Linked DNA regions of Oryctolagus cuniculus. The protein of the gene in region 1 interacts with the protein of each later gene in a pairwise test. Links are inferred from orthologs where the notes say so. Each region holds a gene or a part of one and is shown on either strand. Other genes may lie near its edges. The genes, in order: NDRG4 and MAL2.

The links.
Region 2: the proteins of NDRG4 (region 1) and MAL2 interact in binary tests that used the Homo sapiens proteins (3 or more experiments, as listed by UniProt). The two-hybrid records come from large-scale screens. The link is inferred for Oryctolagus cuniculus from reciprocal best matches to the Homo sapiens genes NDRG4 and MAL2.

Annotation. Positions count from the first base shown.
Region 1 is NC_091449.1:41,762,756-41,767,094, forward strand, and holds the start of NDRG4 (protein NDRG4), read left to right. Parts: upstream 1-1,365; 5' UTR 1,366-1,483; coding exon 1,484-1,520; intron 1,521-4,339. UniProt on the Homo sapiens protein: Contributes to the maintenance of intracerebral BDNF levels within the normal range, which is necessary for the preservation of spatial learning and the resistance to neuronal cell death caused by ischemic stress.
Region 2 is NC_091437.1:145,033,890-145,037,699, forward strand, and holds part of MAL2 (protein MAL2), read left to right. Parts: intron 1-2,034; coding exon 2,035-2,190; intron 2,191-3,810. UniProt on the Homo sapiens protein: Member of the machinery of polarized transport. Required for the indirect transcytotic route at the step of the egress of the transcytosing cargo from perinuclear endosomes in order for it to travel to the apical surface via a raft-dependent pathway.

The DNA.
Region 1 (4,339 bases):
TTCCCGGCCACCTGGAGCTGAGGGGAAGCCAGGACCTCACCGCAAACCAGCCTGCACAGAGGCCCCCTGAAGGCAGGGGCAGCGCCCCTGGACCCCCAAGATGACTTGGCCCTGCGCACGCCTCCTGCACCCAAAAGCGTGGCGTCCAGGACGTGCTGGAGCCCGAAGGGAACCTGGGTCTGCAGGACGCGTGTCTTGCCCAAACAAACGCTTTCAGGGCATCAGATTCCCTCGCTCCCCGGCGTGTGGGCCTCGGTCCAAGGCCAAGGCCCTCCCTTTTAGGGGTGGGGGAGGGGCAGCAGGTGGGAGCCGCTGCGTCGGGCGGAGGAAAACCCGGGACTCCGCGGGACGAACGCGGGGGAGAGGGTACCTCGCCGCACCCCGGGCGGGACCGGCAGGGCCAAGCACAGCTTTGCTAGGAGCCATCCACTCCCGCACGCGTTCTCCCAAGGAAACCCTGGGCTCCGCAAACCGGACGACGCCCCAGAGAGCCCCGGAACACCAGGCTCTGCCCGGTCTTCCAGGCCTTCGGGAGTCTAAAAAAAGCCCCAGGCAGGGGCCGCCCCTCCCCCGGGAACCCGACGTCGCTGACAACAGGCCTGCGCTCCGAGAGGCCGGGACCCGCAGAGGTGAGACGTGGAAGGGGGTGCGGACCCGCAAGGGGTCTCCGCCGGATCTGCGGGTCGTGGCGCCTGGCTCAGCTCCCGCCGCGGCAGGAGCGCAGTGGGCACCTAGTGCGATCCTAGGCGCAGCAGCCAGGCCTGGCCCCGCGCGACTGAGTGCCCACGCCCCCCCCCACACCCACGTGGGCCCGCCCCCGCGGCGCGCCGCCCCCAGCCCCGGCCTCCGCTCCCGGCAGCGGCGCAGGGGCTCCCGGCTGCAGGCGCCTGCACCGCGCGTTGGCGGCGGCGGTGCCGTGGCCCGGCTCCCCGCCTGCGCGTCTGTGTCTCCCGCATCACCTCGGTGAGTCTGCGGCGCCCCCAGGTCGCCGCTCCCTGGTTGTGGCGCGCGCAGCCCCAGGCTCCGCGCACGACCCCGAAGGAGCGCCGCACCTTCCCGGCCGAGCCGCCTTTCTGCTAAGCGAGGACAGCCCCCTCGTCCCCACCCAGCCCCGGCGCTCCCTCCTTGCCTTCCCCGCGGGGCACGGGAACCCCCTGCGCCACCAACCGCGCCCCGCGACGGCCGGGGGCGGCGGGGCCTCTTTGTTCACCAGGCGGGCGCAGGGCCCCTCCCGCGGTGTCGCCGGCCCCCTCCCCGCGCGCTCTCCCCGCCTCCCGGAGTTCGTCCGGACCAGGTGGCGGCGGGCGCCTTTTGGGGGTGCGCGGCCGTGCAATTGGTGGATTTTTTCGCACGGGTTTGGCGGGGGAGCGCGGCGTGGGGGGCGGCGAGAGCGCTCCTGCTGCTGCTGCTGCCGCCGCTGCTGCCGCTCGGCGCTCGCCTTGCGCGCTCCCCGACGCCACAGCCCGGGCCGTGCCGCGCCGCGATGAGGGTGCTGGGGCACCGGCTGGAACTGCTTACAGGTATCGCCGTCGCCGCTTTCCGGGTCGGAGCGGGCTCCGACCGCGGTACCCGGGGGTTGGGGCGCTCGGGTGCGAGCCCGAGGGGTGCGGATGCCAACTAATTCCCAGCTTGTGCTCTACCTGCTCCTGGGCGGAGCCCGCCCGGCTCTGCTGAGAGTGAGCGAGACGGCCTCTGGGGTCCCTGCCCGGCTCAGGGAAAGGAGCTCGGATCCCCTGCCCTCCAATCGGGGCGGCTCACTCCCCAAGAAAGGAGCGCCCTGGACTCCGGGCAGCACCCGTGCCGCGGGCGTCTCGTGTCTGCTCCCTGTGACGGTCCTTTCTGTAGGGGGAGAAGTTTCTTGACCGTTATAGAGGCCAAGTGGCCTGGGATCCTGGTGTCTTGGGGGGCCCTCTGGGGAAGTGACCAGATGCTATGCTGGAGACCCACAGGAGCGTTGGGCTGTGCCGGGTGAAGCGATTGGGACTGGCCGCCCTGAACTGGGCGGGGGGGCTGGACAGTAACACCCCGGCTTCCGTGTGCGCCCCCGGGGAGGGGTGACTGGGAGGGGGGAGGGGGACACTCGGGAGTTCCCCGTCCATGTGCTGCAGGAACGCATGTGGCTTTCAGTAAATGTGTCTGGCACCTGGAAGTGCGGTTTCTGCCCTGGAGGACCTTACAGCACTAGAGCCGGGTTGCAGGCAGGGAGGGGCAGGGAGCAGTCAGGGCACTGGAGAAGAGGTTGGAGCCTGAGCTAGGGCGGGGGGGGGGGGGGGGGGAGCCGGCGGGTGAGAGCAGGGGTGGCCTTGAAGAGGGACTCTGTGTGTGACACAGGGGTGGGGTCATAGACTTGAGGCGTCCAGGCGGCTGCCCTGGTGTGAGCGAGAGGCTTGAGCTGGGAGGGATGTGGAGCTGGAGATAGTGGGGGCAGGGCAAGGGGCAGGCTCTAGGCTGTGCATTCCCAGGGCAGGCAGGGCCTGGGAAGTGTGGGCTCAGAGCCCGCTTAGCCACAGCCAGCATCTGTCATCCCTCATCAACTTTGCCTTGGCGAGCTCTCTGGCTAGGGCAGGCCCAGCCCACCTGCCCCGGAGAACGGCCCAGGTGCTGGACTTAACCCCTGCCCGGGGCAGGCTGTGAAGCCCCATGGAGACGGAACTTCTGGGTCCTTTCCGCCTCCCCTCCCTGCTTCCACAAGACCTAGAGGAGAAATGCTCACGGTGGGCACGTGGGGGACCCGAGCTTCAGGGCCCTGGGTGCAGCACCTCTCCTCCCTTGTCAGATGGGCTCACCTGCTCCACCAGACTTGCTAAGCGGCTGGCCAGGCGGAAACAGGACCCTGCCTGTCACTGTCGGTCCCAGGCTCCCTCTGACCTCTAACCCCGGGCCTCAGCGCACCCCCTCTGTGGCTGTTCGACCATCTCTGCAGCCCTCCTGTCTGCCTCTCCATCTCCCAGTCTTGGATTTCAGTTCCCACCACTCACTCGCCAAGGTTAGCTCGCCTCTCTGGCCTCAGTCTTCTGCTCTTAAAGGTGGCGTTCTCACCGCCTTCTAAGAGGTGGTGTGCGGTTTGCTGAGATAGCACAGGCCACGCACCTGCTGGGAACAGGCCTCTCTGGCTTTATTTCCCCTCTGATTGCGCAGTCTTGGCTGCCCCCAAAATGGAGAACTCCATGTGTCCTGGCTGAGGAGCCACCGGGGATACTGGATCTGCCCCCAGCCCCTTAACCTTGCTCACATGCAGCTGTGAGAATTTGACCCACTGGGGAAGGTAAGCAGGTCACAGGGTGGCTGTTGATTGATTGTAGTGGCATACAGCAAGTGCTTAATAACTGTTGACTGAGCCCAGGCTGGCATAGCCTGTCATCAGCAGTGTCTCCAGGATAACTTTTTTAAAAAAAAAATTATTTATTTGGGGGCTGGTATTGTGGTGTAATGGGCTAAAGGACTTGGGCCATCTTCTGCTGTCTTCCCAGGTGCATTAGCAGGGAGCTAGATTGAAAGTGGAGCAGGTGGGGCTGGCGCCGTGGCTCACTTTGTTAATCCTCTGCCTACAGCACTGGCACCCCGGGTTCTAGTCCCGGTTGGGGTGCCGGATTTTGTCCCGGTTGCTCCTCTTCCAGTCCAGCTCTCTGCTGTGGCCCGGGAGGGCAGTGGAGGATGGCCCAGGTCCCGCACCCTGGGTGGGACCGGCAGGGCCAAGCACAGCTTTGCCAGGAGCCATCCACTCAAGCCAAGCCATCCACTTGGGCCCTGCACCCGCATGGGAGACCTGGGAGAAGCACCTGGCTCCTGGCTTCAGATTGGCGCAGCTCTGGCTGTGGCAGCCATTTGGGGGGTGAACCAACGGAAAGACCTTTCCCTCTGTCTCTCTCACTGTCTGTAACTCTACCTGTCAAATAAATAAGTAAAAATCTTTAAAAAAGTGGAACAGCGGGGACTCGAACTAGTGCCCATATGAGATGCTGGCATTGCAGGCAGTGGCTTAATCCACTACACTACATTGCCAGCCCTTTCAGGATAATTTTGTAGAGGACCTGGGACTCCCTGCCTGCACGTCAGCCTTACAGAATTGTTTAACTGAAGCAGCTTTTAAAAACTCTGATTTGTCTGGTTCTCTCTGGTTTTCACAATCTCCTGTTTATTAAGACCATTAAAAAAAAAGGATGTATTAATTTGAAAGGTAGAGTTACATATGCACACACACACACACACACACACACAGAGGGAGGGAGGGAGGGAGGGAGGGAGAGAGGGGTCTTCCATCTGCTGGTTCACTCCCCAAATGGCTGCAACAGCCAGGGCTGGGCCAGACTGAAGCCAGGAGCTTCCTCCAGGTTTCCCA
Region 2 (3,810 bases), on another chromosome or scaffold:
TGCTATCATTATGGAACATAGTATGGAGGTGTTTCAAAAAATTAAAACTACCTTATGATGTAGCAGTCCACTACTGGGCATATATCCAGGGGAAGTGAAATCCGTAAGACAAGTCTGCACTCCCTTGCTCACTGCAGCATTATTTATAAGAGCCAAGATAAGGAATAAACCTAAGTGTCTATCACTTAGCGCTTAGGATGAATTGATTAAAAAATGTGGTATAGGAGAGTTTTTCAGAAACTTCATGGACATTGTGTATTATGAAAAAAAAAAAACATGCAAGAATTTGAAACTATTTTGGACCAAAATTAACCTATCTTTTAATTCCATTTCTTTTTCCTTTTTTTTTTTTTTTTTTGACAGGCAGAGTAGACAGTGAGAGAGAGACAGAAAGGTCTTCCTTCCATTGGTTCACCCCCCCCAAATGGCTACTGTGGTCAGCATACTGTGCCGATCCGAAGCCAGGAGCCAGGTGCTTCCTCCTGGTCTCCCACGCAGGTGCAAGGCCCAAAAACTTGGGCCATCCTCCACTGCCTTCCCAGGCCACAGCAGAGAGCTGGACTGGAAGAGGAGCAACCAGGACAGAATCTGGCGCCCCAACTGGGACTAGAACCTGGGGTGCTGGCGCCGCAGGTGGAGGATTAGCCTAGTGAGTCGTGGCGCCGGCCTAATTCCATTTCTTAGTGAACTTTTCAAAGTATCCTCCTCCATCTATACTAGTCAGCCTTTACAAAGAAGGAATCATGTCACTTGCAACAACATAGATGAACATGGAGGACATAATATCAAGTGAAAGCAATCAGGCACAGAGAAAATACACTGTATGACTGCACTTGTATCTAAAATCCAAAAAAGTTGAGTTCTAAGAGTAGAATGGTGGTTGCCAGGGACTGGGAGGGAGAGGGGAGCTTCAAGTGATATTGACCAGAAGATACAAAATTTCAATTAGAAGGAAAGAATAACTTCAAAATATCTATTATACAGCATGGTGACTAGTTAATACCAATGTATTGTATTCTTAAAAATTATCTAAGAGTAGACTGTAAGTGTTCTCACCACAAAGGAGAAAAGTATGTGAGACAATGTATACATTACTTAGCTCAATTTAGCTATTCCATTATGCATATATATTCAAAACATATTGTATATGATAAATGTGGACAATTTTTGTCAATTAAAATATTTTATAAAAAAGAAAGTGGACTTTTGAAGCAGAGAGACTATGTAAGTTTGAATTACCCCTTTAAAAGTTAATTTTTATGTGGTTCTGGGACAGTCATTTAACTGAAAAGAAATTCTCTGTTTGTAAAATGAAGGTAATAAATGTGGTTGTAAGGATGAGTAATAATATGTATAACTGGTATATGGGAGCTGTTAAAAATAAAGAGCAGTGTAATAGTGGTATATTAATTCAGGTGAGACAATTTTAATAGAGTTATGCTTCACATTAATGCCGACAACATACAAAATAGCCTAATAAATAATTCAGTTCCCAGATTTTTTTAGAAGCATATGATGTATTTGTTTGTAATAGAACATAGGGACATATGTCTTTGAATTGTATTTTAAAAAAAGTCTTCCATGACTTTCAATGTATGGAATGAAGATCTTAAATATGAAACTAGTGATTTCTCAAATATAAAATAATTTTACAGTTAATATAGATAATTGACTAAAAATATATCATTGGAATGCTGTTTTACTTTTAAAGTTAGTGTATTGTATCCCTTTTGTATCTTATGTTAACTAATTCTGATCTCTGTGGCTTCTTAATCCACACTGAAATTATACATTTCATTATAAAATTTAGTCTTTCAGAAGGTTTGCTACTTTACCAATTAAGACTTATAAGTTGTTTTTCATTTGCATTCTAATGGCCTAACATTGCTAACACAGTGCAAATACACCACAAGTATACTTAAGACTGTTTGATTAAATGTTTTTATCTTCCTGAATTTAAACTTGATTGTTTGAAATAAGTAATAGAAAATCTTATTATTTTTCATTGTAGATGTCTTTCCTCTCCTCTTTCAGGATTTTGCCTACCATTTTACAGTGTTTGTTTTCTACTTTGGAGCCTTTTTATTGGAAGCAGCAGCAACATCCCTGCACAATCTGCATTGCAACATGACCATGTCTGTACAACCTCTCCTGAGTAATAACCAGTATAACATAAACGTAGCAGCCACAGTGAGTATTCAATAAGTACAGTTCACCTGCATTTCCTCTCCTCCCTCAAGGTCTCTAAGAATCTCCTGAGGCAACACCAGTCTTCTATAATAATAGCCATTAGCATTAAACATATAATAGCCATTTATCTGTACCATAACCTTATGAACAAAGTACTGTTATCAACCCTAGAGGTATGGATGATTGAACTGGAACACAAAAAAAGGTTGACATTCATGGAAAACTACAGCAAGGCAGTAGTTCAACTTGGCTTTTCACAGCAAAGTCTCCTTTTGAAAGGGAATTAATTGTGCTTTTTACTTCTTTTAACTTTCAAACATGGTAAGGAAGAATTGTTCCCTTCTTTGCTCTTTAGTATTCAATACCTATTTATAATTCATTTTAACGCAGTGAATATTTACTGCAGGCCTTCTGTGTGACAGGTAATTTTCTGAGTGTGGGGAAAGGGGTGAAAAACTTGTAATGCCTACAATCGAGGAAGTGCAGGTTAGTGAAGGAGACCAATAAGCCAACAATTACAGTAGATGACATACAGAGGAAACACATTCCAGTGGAAAACTTTGGGATTTTTTAAATCCTCTTCATTAATGGGATAAATTTGTCATTTTGTATTGATATTGGTAATTTGAAAAGTGATATTATTTGTGTTCTTATAGGTAATTTTTAAGATCTCAGAAGTCCAAATTATTTCCTGAAATGCCTTAATGTTTAATATGACTGTCTAGCAAATTAGTCACCAGATGTTTTACTATTTTACCCAATTAGCCCACGAATAACCTGGTACTTCCTTATAGCCATTGAAACTTGTTGGAAGCACCCCTGTACAGTAAAATTTTCTACAGTGATAGGGACATTCTATATTGTGATGTTAAATATGGTGGTCACCAGCCACTTGTGGCTATTGGGTAATGAAAATGTAGCTAGTATTACTAAGGAACTGAATTTTTGTATAAATAGTGACATATGGTTAGTTGCTATCATACTGGACAACACAGGTCTAGAATCTTGATTTTGAAAAGGGAAAGACATGATTTTAAGAGCTATTAATGTAAGTTTTACAAGTCTGTGTTAGGATTTATCAAAATTCATTGAGTGCTTATGATGAACTGGACTGAAGATGGAATTACAACAGAAAGAAGACATGGTTCTAGCTTTGAAAGATTTATGGTTTATATCAGTGATTTTGACTTTAAGAAACCAGAGCAGTATTTAGCCTAGTGGTTAAGATATCTGAGTCCTACATCCAAGTCCCTGGGTTGGATCCCCAGCTCTGACTCTTAACTAACTTCCTGCCAGTGCACATGCTGGGAGCGAGAAGGTGGACTCAAGTGCTTGATTTCTTGGCACCCACATAGGAGACCAATGTTATGTTCCTGGCTTCTGGCTCCAGCCCTGTCTGGACTCTGGAACAGCCCCAGCCATTGCAGGCATTTGGAGAGTGAACCAGTCGATGAGTACACTGTCTGTCTGTATCACTGTCTCTGTATCTCTCTTCTTCCCTCTTCCACCTGCCTCTTCTTCACTCTACATTTCTCTCCCTCACTTCAGCCTTCTCTTTCCCTCTCAAATAAATTTAAAAATTTTTTTTTAACTGAAAACATTTTACTTCATGAAATCTTA